Caenorhabditis elegans: one gene and its partner. The protein of the gene in region 1 interacts with the protein of each later gene in a pairwise test. Each region holds a gene or a part of one and is shown on either strand. Other genes may lie near its edges.

Region 1 (8,505 bases):
TCTAATCAACATGATTCCCACACAGAAAAAAACCGAGACATCAAATCAAAAAGCACACAAAGTACGTTGATTGATCTTCTCTCCATCTGTTTATCTCGATCACCTCGTGGTTCTCTGCGTCTCTACCGTCTTCCTCTCAGCCTCTCTTTCTCTCACTATCTTATATTGTTGTTTTACAGTTTAAAGTGTATCTAAACCCCGCCTCTTTTGGGGGTCCTTCCTACCTTTTTTCGAATACCTTTGTCAGTTTTCCCCCGTCTCCGGAGACAGGTCCATCCGTACGCAACTCGAAGATTTTATCTCCGATCTAGTCCGGGTCACTTTTCAATTTCTCTGAAACGTCAAATTATCTATTCATCGTATTCTCTCCACCGCTCTCATCTCTCCTTCTATTAACCGATTTGCATAACAAAATTTTAGATTTTATTCCAATTTCATATTTCAGCTAATAATTACAAAATGTGCGACGAAGCCGCCCGTCTTGCCAAAATCGGCCGTCAAGAGTATGATCTCATTAGAATCCACGACGCGCCAAATTGCGATGATCAGACAAAGTTCGAGTGTGACTTGGAATTGGCTCGGTATCAAGTAATTCGCAGTGAAATGGCTTTGGTAAGGTTTTCTTTAATTTCTGTGAATCATTTTGAAGAAAATTTGAAATTAGATTGTCCATTAGCACCCTTAAATACATAGTTGAATTATGAATTGAACATGGTGCATCGACATTTTTTGAAAAAACAAAATTTTCCTTTTTCAATTCACGGACCCGATGCACCATGTTTTACGCGCAAATTATGTTGCGATGGAAACAGTACTTTATTCCACAACCTCAAATTTAAAAAATTGCAATAGTTAAGCCCGTTTTCGGAAAAAAATAGTTTTCAATTTCTCTGAAACGTCAAATTATAAAATTTCTCGACTACTTAGCAAAAACTATTCTGTACGCTGGACAAAATGCAAAATTCAAATGACAAAGCACTAGGATTTTGAGTTTCCAAAAGGCTGTAACTGAACATATTACTCAAAAATTGCAGTTTTACGGGGAATTTTCGAGATTGTAGATCAGTTAACAACTTAAAAAAGATAGTGTAGGCCACAAAAGATTATCCCATTCCACCCTTTAAACCCTTTTACTTTTCCAGAAAAACGTATACAACGAGGAATTTGTGACCCCTGCAAAACTCCGTTATCTCCGTGATGATCTGGAAGCCGCCGAGGAGCATCTGAAAAAGTTGCTTGAAACCTCCCATTGACGCGTTTGATCGAAACGGATTCTGTACATACCTTCCAAATTGTTATTTTTTGTGCTGTGAAGAAATGAAAATAAAATATATTGCTTTTTTCGCAAATCGAATCGGTTTTATTTGAGAAATTTATTTTTAATGGAATGGTGGTTTGGCACTGGAATGTAGAGAGACAATTGACTAGAGTTTAGTTAAGAATTTAAGTAAAACAAATAATTTAAAATCGAGTAATAATGAAATTATCGTCGTCTTCGGATTCTGAATCTGATGGGATCATTGCGGCTGCTGAAGGTGGTGGAAGCATGATGAAAGCGTCATTAATCTGAAAATAGTGGGAATTTGAATAATTTTTTGAAAATTAACAAGTGCCAGGAAATAGGACAACTACTGAAGGCTCCCCAGTTAATGATATTTGGTACAAAATCTATTTAGAAATATCTGCTAGGGTATGCAACCTGCCTCGTAGGAAATCTTAACCTATTAGCACTATTTTTGCTCATTACTTGGTTTGATCGATCGTTTGCTTAAAAATGTCTGCACGTACCTATGACAGAAAATTGTATTGAGAGCCCACTTATACATTTTGCTCAGTCTCAGAGAGAAACTTGGGTACGTGCGGACCCATGACCCACCATTCCAAAGAAAAATTTTGTCTAAAGAATTTCTCGAATTTCTTGCTTCTCTAAATCTATTTCTACTGGAAATTCGCAAGTAGTCAGCTGCTTCTTTTTGTTTTCGATCACCTTGTGATCCTATGAATGGCAGTTCCAATCAACAAAAGTACTTTCTCGGAAAAATTGGAAACTAGGGGTAATTAGCAAACTATTTCAAATTCCAATAAGCTTATCTTGGCGATTGATCTTTTATCACTACTAGTTACCTTGTCTTTTGTCGCTTCCACCCGATCTTCTTGTTCATCATTTATTTTTGTATCTCCCACCACTTGAAACTCCTCCCCAATCACGTTTTCGCCCTTTATCTCCTCTTCGACATTTTCTTCTTCTTCTTCTTTTAACGGTTCCGTTGAGACCTGCGAAGAAAAACAAATGAAGAAGAACATTGGTGATTGTTGACTTTTTGATGTTTGTATCGGTTTCATTTAAATAGATTTATATTTGTTCTAGAGGGGAGAGAATAAATTATAGAATCAGGTCAAAGGGTAGCGGAACTGATTTGCTTTCGAAAATGTGAGAATAACTGTGAAAATCGTGAGTACGACTAGATCCAAGTAATTGGAGCAAATATCGTTTAGGTTCAGGAGCACCCGTTCTTGAAACTTTTGCCCCCCCCCCCTCTCATTCAGATTCACAAATATCTATTTTATGGTGACTCATCAAATGGTCAGAAATATGATTCAAAAGTTGAAAGTAATACTTTAATTCCGTAATTCCTCTCTTAATGTTGCACCTACATAACTGATCTTGTGGATCACACAAGAAAGCTTACCGTCTTTCTGCTCCTCGGCTTTGGCACGGGCGGTACAAACTCTTCTTCAACTTCCCGATCCCTTTTCAGAACTTCCACATCATCATCCTCCCCAACCGTCGACAGAATACTTGACACAGTATCTGCATTTGATCTTGACGAGGTAGTGGAAACATCCGTGTTCCCAGATGAAGACGTCATTCTTCCGATGGACATTGGCATTGTTGCTGACTTGATCCTCTTATCATATAAGAACCTGGCAATTGCAGGAGGTACTCCACTTTCGTCACTTGAGCGGAGGTCTAGCGCATTTTGCTTTGTCAAGGCTCTTCCATTGATTAATACTGTACCAGGAGCTTCGGGAGCATCAAAGCTTGGAGCTTCATATGAGGGAGGTGGTCGGTTGGGAGGCATACTCACAGGCCGAGCGGAGAACGCAGGAATAAATCCTGGAGCTTGGAATGTTGGAGAGGAGAGGTCTGGAGGGAGGCTTGGAGCTTTTGGAGCCGGTCCTTTTTTCTTCCGAAGTCTAATTGTCTCTGGAGCTACCCCCAACTCATACTTCTCCACCAAATGCTTCATAAAAGCCCGATCTTTTTCTAGTGCAAGCGTCGGATAACCCGATTCGTCAGTACTGATTGTGGATAATTGATCCCTATCGAGATCATCCAGGTCATCCAACCAATCGTCAAGCTCATCCAAGATCTTTCTCCCTTGAACGGATGTGCTCCGAATAGTTGACATATAATTCGAGTCATCCGGCGGACTCGCCGGACTCAATATCGGTGTCTCCTCCTGATTCTTCGGGATTGCCAAAGGCCGATGCAACGGAGAAAGTGTATTGAGAGGTGGTGTACTTTTAACAATTGGAATGCAATCATCGAGACCGAAACTAAAAGCACCACCAAGATCACCCGGTCTTTCGATCACCAGAGAGTTAGGCTTCGGTGCAACGATTCGGTCGGCGGTTTGGATTTTTGGAGGTGGAGCTATGTGTGTTGAGATATTCGAAGTGTGGGAGATTGACCTGAAAATTGAAAAATTTTTAAACTTCAGGGTCCAATCAAGAAATACCGAAAAACTACAGGTTGCTCTGAGATTTCTGATGTTTCCTCCTCGTCGTCTTGGGCGTTGAAGATCAAATTCGGCTTGCTGTTCCTGAAAGTTTAATTCTCAACCAACTTTTGATTCAGTTGTCAAATTTGAAAGCGCCAGTAAGAAACTTAATTCTAAAGGAAGTACTTCTTGGAATTGAGGTAAAAAACTAATTCAAAAACTGTGTTGTTAGAAAATGTCATACAAATACTCACTGTGGAGGAGGAGTAGGGGGAGCTGGAGCCTTATAATTTTTCTTGCTCGGACGTGGTGGAGCAATATTTATGTATTGGTGGGATGTTGGTTGATTCTCGTAACCTCTGACAACTTCAACCTCTTCTTCACTTTTTGAAGCTGATGGGAAAGCATCATCTAGTCCAACTCTCTGAAAAGTTGAACTTTTTTGGAGAAAAGTAATTAAATAGTTCCCTACATCTTTTTCTTTTCTCTGCGATCGGAGTGTACTATTCGACGAGGAGGGTCTTATGTAGTAGCTGCTGAATTCTTTATTCATCCACATTGAATTCAAGTAATGCTTGTAGATCACAAACCTTTCATTAACCGTATCAATCACATTATCGCTCGTCCGAAGATTTTCAATTTCCGATGATCCCATTGGACCGACATGAGCCAAATGCCTGTAATATAAAAATTGACTATGATAGATTGTTTAAAACCTAAAACACAATGAGTAAAACTAATACGAATGTAACTAATTCGTCTCCGAATCTACTAATTGTAAGAAACTAATTCGTATGAAAATTGTAAGTTTTAGACGTATGGAGGCACGGGAGAGTACAGAGAAGCTGAGTGTCTTAACTCTCCTCCTCTCATATCTTTTTAAACAATTAAAATGGCGAATTGCGAAAAAATTGAGAATTTAAAAAATTTCAGGTAACGTGATTTGTATTATTTTATTTTATTTTTTACGACAATAGCCCATAGTGTAAGATTTAACGCTTGGTACCTATAATATATAACAATGTTTTATCAATTGTTGCTAGTCCACGTGTGATTAGGTACTACATAACAATTTTAAACTTAATATTCATAGTTGACATGTATGCTAGTTTTGCATTATTGTTTCTATCACTGATTATTTTCATGACTGAATTGTTGGCGGTTCCAGCTGTGTCAGCTAAATTACCTAGCAAAATGGTAAGTTTTGTTTCCAAGGTTTCTGATTTCTAAAACTTGGAATTTCAGTCTATGGATGTCAATATGATAATAAAAGAATGTTGTAATGAGATAAGTGTAGAGTGTTGTAAGCCTAATATTTTTGAATAAACTGTTCATGTTTCTAAATGTTCCTCATTTCTAAATGTTATATCAATTAAAAAAAGCACAATCAGCACAATCAATCAGCTATTGGCTAAATCTTGATGAAAGTTATTACACTGTAAAAATGGGTTGGTTAGAGAGTGTGGGGGAGGGGAGAGTGCAAGAACTCCGCTTCTTTCTCGGGCCTAAAACGTCGACATGTCATAATCCCGCTTGAAGCTAACCTACTAATGTTCTTCAAGAACGAATTTGCAGATACATTCCAATTCGAATGTACGGATTAACATAACATCCTCAACTTTTATTCCTTACCTGAAATCCGACGGCAGTGAGATCATAGTTTTATCCAAGTGTTTGTGCTGATTCTTCGGAGGCAGCAACGGCAAGTCGTTGGGCATTTTCCATAAACCCGGTTCCTGTCTTAAATCAAGAATAAAGTAACAAGAGGCAAAAAAAATCAATGGTCAAACCACGCAAGTTGTTGCAAAAACTGTGGAGAACAGACACCCGGAGTAACTGAGAGAGAAAGGGGAATAGAGAAATAACCGATAAAAACGTGTAAGCAGTTGGAAAAAGAGTAGTGATAAGGAATTATTGAGAAGGAGGTGATGTGTTGAAAGAATGATTCATTTGGAATTGGAAGCCAAGAAGTTTGAAGCTCCAATGACACCCGTGCTCAAGCTCCGCCCAAAGACGCTTGTAAGGAATCTTGAGTTTTGTAGCATGGCGGAATATTGAAGCGTCGTTCGATGGCTCCAAAATTTTGACCACTTTCAGGTACTGCATAAAATCAATTGAAAAATGTTAAAATTCAGATTAACATAGAAAAATCTAGCATAGAAACTACCTTTCAAATATTTCAAAAAGTGTTATCAATTTCTAGCAAATAGCAAATTGTTCTTGCTGATCTCCCATAGATTACTCAGATCAAATTGACAAGAGACGCAGCATGTTGAAGTGAAAAAAGAAAACATGTGTCGATCTGATGAGTAATCTCTTGAGGCTAAAAACCGGGTTACGGAAGGGTATTATGTATATGTATACTCTAGTGTTTGACTGCAAGTCGGACGATATTTCGCAATTTGTTTAACATTGATTTACGAAACCTTTGATGTTTTTAATGTATTACCGAAGATTTACTAGGATTATTTTTGTTTCGTAAAGAATTTAAAATGTGTTGTCATATTTGAAATAATGTTTTAAGCAACTTTGTTCATCATCAAAATTTAAAAAATTCCAAATATTAGTAGTAGTTTATTTGTTTTAATGTATAATATAAAAATCTTTAAAAAATATTCTTCTATTACATATCATCCAAAATTCCGATAGTCCGTCTCAAAATCTCCTGAGCTTTGTGTTCCCTTTCGTCAGCTCCACTTTTCAAATCCAAACTCTCATCCTTATACATTTTGTAGTAATACGACAGACTGAATAGTGACGTGGCATTCACAAAATTGAAGTGAGTTCGATAGGATTCTTCGAGTTGGGAGAAAGTGAAGGGAGCCGTGGAAAAATGAGATTTGAAGGTCGTATAGTAGTGGTTCAGGTATCTGGAAAATGGAAACTGACTCTTTGTTTTGAAATGTGTTTTATATCTCCGAACCCGATTTTCAAATCTCGGCCAAAAAGCGGGCCATTTCAATTTTTACTTCTTTCGGTTATTGAAAATGTTTAGACTTAGAAAAAGATACCTTTGAGTATTTGCTCTTCGATTTTCCACTGACAATCCAAGGCACAAAATACGAATAATATCAAAGGAGACGGGACCCTTTGACACGTGCTGGAAATCGATAAATGCCTGGATCTGAAATTATTCAATTTTATTATTAGGAGTAATTTTATATTCTATGACACGTAGTCCTCTTGGACAACTCTACCTTTCCAGTTTCATTATTCCATAGAACATTTGACGCGTTCAAATCATTATGACATATCACCAATGGCATTCCAAGTTTTTCGTTTTTCTTTTCGGAATTTCTAACTCCATCTTCATCAAAAGCATGCTTAACTTCTTGAATTCTTCCGGAGAGCTCCGCCGGGCATAACTTTTCAAAATCAAGGGTGTCGTTGTGCTGGAATTTTGATTCTGAAGCGTGAGAAAGAGCCGCTCTGGTTTTCAGGTAAGCAAAACACCATACACCATATTTACGGGTTGTTGTGAAAAGTCAATTTCCAATAAGTTCCAAAAATATTCGGCCACCAATTTTCGCGGCCATCAAAGAGATGTGCCCAATTTTAAATTCGAAATTTGAAAAGATGTGCCCAGATTGCAATCGATTGCAATATACTCTTTTTTTTTTATTTCTTACTATACCTAGGGCTTCACTGGCAGACAGGCACATTTTCAGGCCTATTTGAATATCTCGTGCCTGCCTCCCTACCGCTCAAAACTCACCAACATCCTGATATAGGCCGCATCATAAAGCACATTTTCATAATTCTTCCATGGAATCTCATCACTTATCTCAATAATTTTCGCATGAAAATGAGCAAGAGCCTCCAAAAGTTGAAGAACTTGAGACTCATCAAACCCGGGAACAAAATCAATCGAATACACTTTTCCAGAATAATCCTCACACGCCAGACCTGCCATTTTCTCGTTTCCCAAATTCTCGCCGTAATAGGAACGGGGAATTGGGAAACCGGAGAACTGAATTCCCGAGAAGTCAGAGTAAAACGTCACTTCTTGCTGAAAATTGATAGCGTCAAAACAAAAACAAAATACAAAATTACCGCAGTGAGAGTTCGCAGAATTTCCATATTCTCATCTGCATTATCTGGGTCACAGGCAGCGTTGATAGCCGAGATTCGTGGGATCTAGAACTTGAGTTTTTGGAGTAAAACCTTTCGCCTAGCATTTGAGATTTCAAAACCTTGTCAACTTAAAAAATTTAGAAAATTTTCCATAAAATATTTTGTTAGTTGAAAATTTTTTGCTATCTCTCTTGCTCGCAGAGTTATACAGCTCACAATACCTTCACAAAAATCGGGGAGACCACCTTGTCCGCGTGTGCTTCCGAGTTTGGAGTCACTAGAATTTGATAGCACTCTGACCAGAAACTTCTCGAATTTTCCAGAGGTTTTATGGTTATGTTGAACTGAAGATTTTCAAAAATAATAAAAAAATACTTTCAGCACGAGAGGGTCTTACAGTTTTGAAAGGCTCTTGGACGCTGGAAAAGATGGCTTCAATGATTTTTGGCACAACTTCTGCGATTTCGGACATTCTGCAAAAACTTATTATTTTGGTTGAGGGATATGTAGAAGTTGTCGAAGTTTCAGGCCTCGCCCACATATTGGACGCAACATTGGTGTATTTGAAATGCATAGACAGAGATACACCTATTTTGCATAATCTCGGCAGAAAAATTACTTTTCGAGATAAAAATTCACTTCCGGTCTAGCGCCCGAAAAGTTTATAGTGACAGTTTGTAGGGTTTTTTGGAAGCGCCGAATTTTT
Region 2 (5,882 bases), on another chromosome or scaffold:
TACAAATTGCAAAAGTTGCCGGTAATGGGAGAATAATGACTAGAACATCTTTTAAAACGGAGAACGTTTGGCACAACGCGTTGTGCATTCCGAATACTGTATTTCGTTCTCGTTCTGGGATGGTGACTTGCATTATGTGAGTGATAGCCAGATCCAGGCACCACAATCCTGAAAATTGATTATTAAAATTAATTTTTAAAAAATTCCTGATTTTTTTGACATTTCCTAATATGTATTAGTTAAAACTTGAAATTTGACCGGCTTTTCAAGCGGCTGGAAACAATTTTTTTTTTGTAATTACTGTCAAATTTTGAGTACAAAATGTAATTATGTTGCGTTTTCAACTTGAGATTTTTAATTTTTTTAAACCAAAACTTGCCGTCCATCGACTTTAAAATACCTATATGAAGTTAAAACACAAGATAATTACATTGTATACTTAAATTTTGACCATGGTTTCAAAAAAAGATAGTTTCCAGCCGCTTGACAAGTCGGTCAAATTTTCAATTTTAACTAATCTTAGCCCATTTTTTGAGCCGTCATAACTTTTTTTTGAGAATTTTTCAAGGAGTTTCATTATAAAATTAGGAGTTTTCAGACAATTTTGAGCCTGATAAGGTAATAAAAAATTCGACTACACCACCTTAAAAAAAACCCAAACTCACCATATCTTGCGGATGCAATCGCAATCAAGAACACAAAGATGCTGGCCAAACTGACACCATCAGACGAAAAGTGCTTCCAATCAACATGTGGGTCCAAGTTTGTAGCGTTATTCCCGTCGAAAGAGTGAACCATATCGTGCCACCAAGTTCCCATAGTGAAGTTTCCAAAGTATCCACCAAGGTTCATAGGAGATCCCGGGAGGAACACGGATATAACTGCTAGAACCGCAAAAAACTGCTGAACAACCAATCCCAGTAGTCCTGAAGTGGCGACACTGTATCGCTTTTCGAAGAATGCGTAGGAAAACGCTCCAAGGATCGCAGTCACGGATCCATAGGATCTGAATGCTCCGATAACAAATTCCGGAAGCCCTACACTTGAGCCATATCCTACAGCTAATCCATCAAATCCCATCACTGTCATGAATAGAAGACTCATTCCAAATGCAGCTGGGAATGAGATCTGGCACCAGTACGTGTAAACCACAGATTCTTTGAGCCTTGAATTGGCGAATGGGTCTAGCGCTTCATCTTTCTTGTCTTTCTTCACTTGAAGCAGAGGATTGGAGATGTAGATTGCTCTAAGGAAAATGGTTTTTGAAGCCATTGAAACAAGAGAGGCTATACCAAATATTCCAACTGTTTCACGAAGACCAACCCAGGTCACCAGAGCCTTAACTTAGTTTGTTTTTACTTTGGAATTAAAAAGCGAACACAGAACTAACACCAGTTACTAACGGTGCAATAACATTGGTACATTGATCCAATGTCAACAGAGTTGCGTTCATATTCGACAGTGTACCATCATTTCCGAGTACCATAACCCAATCTCTGCCTGTGATGAACTTTTCCGCGTTCAGGAAAAGCCGGTTCACCGCGCATATGCACATTGCTAGAACCAGGCAGACTATGTACCACGGTGACGTGGCATCGATAGACAGACAAGCTTAAAATATTTTAGCTTCGAGTACCTACATCAGTGTCAAATTAGAACTCACTGATAATAAGAGCAGCTGCAGCACAAATACTCAAATTGTTCAACGGTACGACGGTCATGATTGCTGAAATTGAAAACTTGATTTTCTCTTACAAATACTCACGAAATAAGTATTTGATTGTAGTTTTTGTTAGGTCAATGTGATACTTGAACAAATCATTTTTGCAGTAATCGAAATTTGTAAAAATGAATCGTTCACGTGGAGTCAGAACGTCCCATTTTGCTGTGATCTTCGAAAAATGCGAGAGAAGAGACGCAGAGATCTCATCTGATTTTGCATGGTTAAGAGCGTGCTGACGTCACAATTTTTCTGGTAAAATATTCCCATTTGTCGTAGATCGAACCGCAATGAGGCAGGCTGACACCACGGGATCGTTTAGTTGTCTACCGTACCCCGTTTCCTCGAGAGCCCGTCGAAATGCTTTCCTAAATATCCGCTGAGAAACATTTGCAAGACTCCCTCGAAAAGCTGCTCAATGGAAACCACTCTCATACCACCCATCAGGTCCATACAAAGAGAGACACAGAATGACCAAGCCCTGTCTTCCTGTAAATAGTATCGAAAAATTGAATGTTCATGTTTTTCCACATTGAACTAAAAAACAATTTTGAAGTTTATAAAAGTATGCGAATTTCTTTTTTTTTCTTCCTAGTTTTAAATTCCCTCTACACTCACCAAGCATGTCGAAATATAGGCACAATACAAAAATATGCTCGTTTTCGAAAGGGTGCCACTGTTTCGTCGATTATTCGGTTGTTGAAAAGTCATTGTCACAGGAATCAAACTGGAAATCTCTGCACTTCCATCGCCCGCGACACACTTACTGATTTCCATGTTAGCGATAACCTCTATATATTCTGTGATAACGGGCAGGAAGTTCAACAAAGTGTTGGTGCACATACATCATGAATTTTTTCTCTTGTCAATCAAAGATTATTTGAATAGGCCACTCGAGTGCACTGCTCACCGTCTCTTTTTTTTTCATCTTTGCTCGTCTTACCGAACACTTTTTCACGCGATAAATTGTTTGCCGCGCGGCATGAGAAGGCGGAAGATGGTTGGGATAGTTTCAAGCGAGATGGTATATAAGCCCACAATCAAATGGAAATACTCATCCGATACTTTCGGCTCTAATCATGCGCTTCACCTCCCTCGCCATTGCCTTCTTCGCCTGCGCCCTAGTGGTGTCTGTAAGTTGTGCAAGATCTAAAAATTTGAGTCTACGAATATTAATTTTCAGGGCAATGTGCTTCGTGAGAAGAGACAATGCGGATGTGCTCAACCCCAGCAGAGCCAATGCTCGTGCCAACAGGTTCAACAGACTCAATCGTGCTCGTGCCAATCTGCTCCAGTTCAGCAACAATCCCCATCATGCTCTTGCGCTCAACCACAACAAACCCAGAATGTTCAGGTTACTAGCAAACTTATGCTATAGCTCCAAAGAGAGACTTTCAGGTCCAAACCACTCAATGTGCTCCAGCTTGCCAACAGAGCTGCACCCAACAATGCCAGGCTGCACCATCGGTAGCCCAGTGCCAGCCACAATGCCAACAGCAGTGCCAATCCCAGTGCGCTCCAATGTACAATCCACCAGCCACCACCACACCAGCTCCAGTCGTCCAATGCCAGCCAATGTGCCAACAGCAGTGCCAATCCACCTGTGTTCAGCAACAACAACCAGCTTCCCAATGCCAGCCACAATGCCAGCAACAGTGCAACGTTGCCTGCGATGCTCCAGCCACATCCACTCAGGCACCACAAGTAGTCCACATCCAACTCGAGATCCAACAGGCTCAAGCTCAATGCCAACCACAGTGCCAGCAACAGTGTCAATCATCCTGCACCCAACAACAACAGCCAGCTAACCAGTGCAATTCGGCTTGTAACAGCCAGTGCTCCAACATTTGCCAACAAACTGCTCAAGCCACTCAACAGGTCTACAACCAGAACTCTAACACCAACACCCAAATGTACAATCCATACAACAACAACAACCAAGGTTCCGGATCCGCCAACTGCGCCCCAGCCTGCCAGCCAGCCTGTGACAACTCCTGCACTTCTCAGACTCCAGCTCCAATGTACAACCCATACGATGCCAGCACATCCGCCCCAGCATCTTCCCAAGCTGTGATCCAAATCGTTCTCCAATCCTCCGTCGCCCAGTCCTCCCAGTGTACTCCACAATGCGAGCAGTCGTGCCAGCAGCAATGCGTTCAGCAACAACAACCAGCCGCTCAGTGCCAGTCTGCCTGCCAGGACTCGTGCTCCAGCTCCTGCCAAGCCGCTCAGCCAGCGACTACGGCTTGCCAGCAGAGCCCACAAAGCCCACAAAACTCGTGCTCCTGCCAAGCTAACTACTCTCCATGCGGAAATGGACAGTGCTGTAGAAGAAAGTGAACGGACTCTGAACAATGACTTCAAGTTTTTGTATATAATGAAACCAATTAGTTTCACAAGAACTTAATAAACAACTTTGATATTTTAATTGATTTACATTATTTGGTTTTTTATTGTCTAGAAAATGAACAATGACTACAAAACTTATAGCTGGCTCACAGTTTATTGACTAGATTAGCACTAAAAAATAACATGGCCGCTTTTCAAGGAAAGGTTTTTATTTTATTTTATTTTTTAATGTCAGACTTCAAAACGAGACAAGTGCCATTTAAAAGTGTTCCATAAGGATATATTACTACAAAATTTTAAGCGGCAAAGCTCCACTCTCAACCCCTCTAGCATCGATCTGAAACTGTTACAGTGCACTTCTTCACTACTTTGGAGGCCTGTAGAATTGCTCCAAATTTTTTTTGTTGCAAACTTTCAATGTTTTTCAAAACGGTTAAAAGTAGGTAAGCATTCTGGAAAATTTTTGAAAATTTTTAAATTTTTTCAAAAAATCTGAAAAATTTTTGAACCGAGTGGAGTGGATTGAGGAAATTTTTAGATTTTTTTTTCAAAAATTTTTTAAAATTTTTAAAAATTTCCCAGAATGTAAACTTATTTCTAGCCGTTCTAAAAAACATTGAAAATTTGCACAAAAAAAATCAGGACCAATTCTACTGGCCTGAAACAATTTAAGATCGAAATTTTTGGGGTTGAGAGTAGAGCTTTGCCGCTTAAAATTTTGCAGTGACATAGCCTCATGAAACACTTTCAAATGACACATGATGGTTGCATATTACGAAAAAATGTTTCCTATCGATATGTCTCGGTCACCATAGAACCAAGTCTAATGTGAACACGAGACCATAAGAGACATAGAGAGTGAGACGCATTGCATCTTGTGAGTGAAGAGACCTCTGTGCCTCTTTCTCTCTCATCTATCGATTTGCATTTTGACTTGGCTTTATTTTCGGGGTTTTGTGGATTTTTAGAACCTGAGTTTTGTAGCTTATTTGAAATATCATATTTAATATTTAAAGGTGGAGTAGCGCCAGTGGGGGTTTTGTTTAAATGCACTTATAATGATCCAAAACAACCGAATATCATAATAATAATAAAACACTCCAAAAAATTTTAGATTTTTCATAATTTCTGATCAAAGTTTTGGCAAATCGCCAAAATTTTGAAAAATACGAGCTTTTGAGGAAATCCAAGGCAATGTCGCATGTTCACACCCCTACAATGTTTTAATACAAATAATTAAAACAAAATTAAAGTATAAAAAATGTAGGAAAAAATAAGTTTTTTGGTCGAGTTCCAAAATTACGAGTAGCAAAAACTGTGTAATTGCCACTTTTTGACAGTAAATAAAAAATTTTCAAAAATTTTTTGGAAAGTTTTATCATGATATTTGGTCATTTTGGGACTATAGGAGTGGTTTTTAACAATTTCCCCACTGAGGCTACTCCACCTTTAAATTTGAGGAATCAACCCCCACTGCTCTAATATGGAACATCGTGACGACGACTTTGAATTTGGACATCAATTTGGCGGGGACGAGGAGGAGGAGGAAGAGGAAGAAGCGATTGATGTGGATAGTCCAGATGAGTTGGATGTTGACGCCGAACCTGATGACGACTCTGATATGGAAGTCTATCATATGGAGACGAATGGAGCCGCCAATGGAAATGGAAGACAGGTCATTGGAGAAACGGGTGATGAAGAGGAAGATGATGACTATGATGAAGAAGACGCAATGACTTGGGATTCGATGTCAACAATCAGTGAAGTTGAGGTGGAAAAGGATGATGACGAATGGTATCCATTGATGAAGAGA

What was found. The genes of interacting proteins can lie anywhere in the genome.
Region 2: the proteins of F09F7.5 (region 1) and pqn-54 interact in a two-hybrid assay, tested with the Caenorhabditis elegans proteins (one large-scale study listed by BioGRID).

What each region holds. Positions count from the first base shown.
Region 1 is NC_003281.10:5,544,070-5,552,574, reverse strand, and holds F09F7.5 (CRIB domain-containing protein), read right to left. Parts: upstream 5,466-8,505; 5' UTR 5,444-5,465; coding exon 5,358-5,443; intron 4,403-5,357; coding exon 4,316-4,402; intron 4,262-4,315; coding exon 4,198-4,261; intron 4,150-4,197; coding exon 3,980-4,149; intron 3,828-3,979; coding exon 3,744-3,827; intron 3,697-3,743; coding exon 2,691-3,696; intron 2,275-2,690; coding exon 2,125-2,274; intron 1,567-2,124; coding exon 1,462-1,566; 3' UTR 1,360-1,461; downstream 1-1,359. Other genes in the region: F09F7.6 (Ferritin), read left to right, coding at 460-612, 1,143-1,253; putative kinase-like protein D1044.1, read right to left, coding at 6,349-6,595, 6,737-6,849, 6,923-7,117, 7,441-7,734, 7,779-7,862, 8,021-8,143, 8,197-8,271.
Region 2 is NC_003283.11:1,462,215-1,468,096, forward strand, and holds pqn-54 (Prion-like-(Q/N-rich)-domain-bearing protein), read left to right. Parts: upstream 1-2,775; 5' UTR 2,776-2,799; coding exon 2,800-2,853; intron 2,854-2,903; coding exon 2,904-3,074; intron 3,075-3,118; coding exon 3,119-4,060; 3' UTR 4,061-4,146; downstream 4,147-5,882. Other genes in the region: fpn-1.2 (Solute carrier family 40 member), read right to left, coding at 1-168, 666-1,338, 1,391-1,611, 1,664-1,726, 2,056-2,209, 2,339-2,431; gid-8 (CTLH domain-containing protein), read left to right, coding at 5,553-5,882.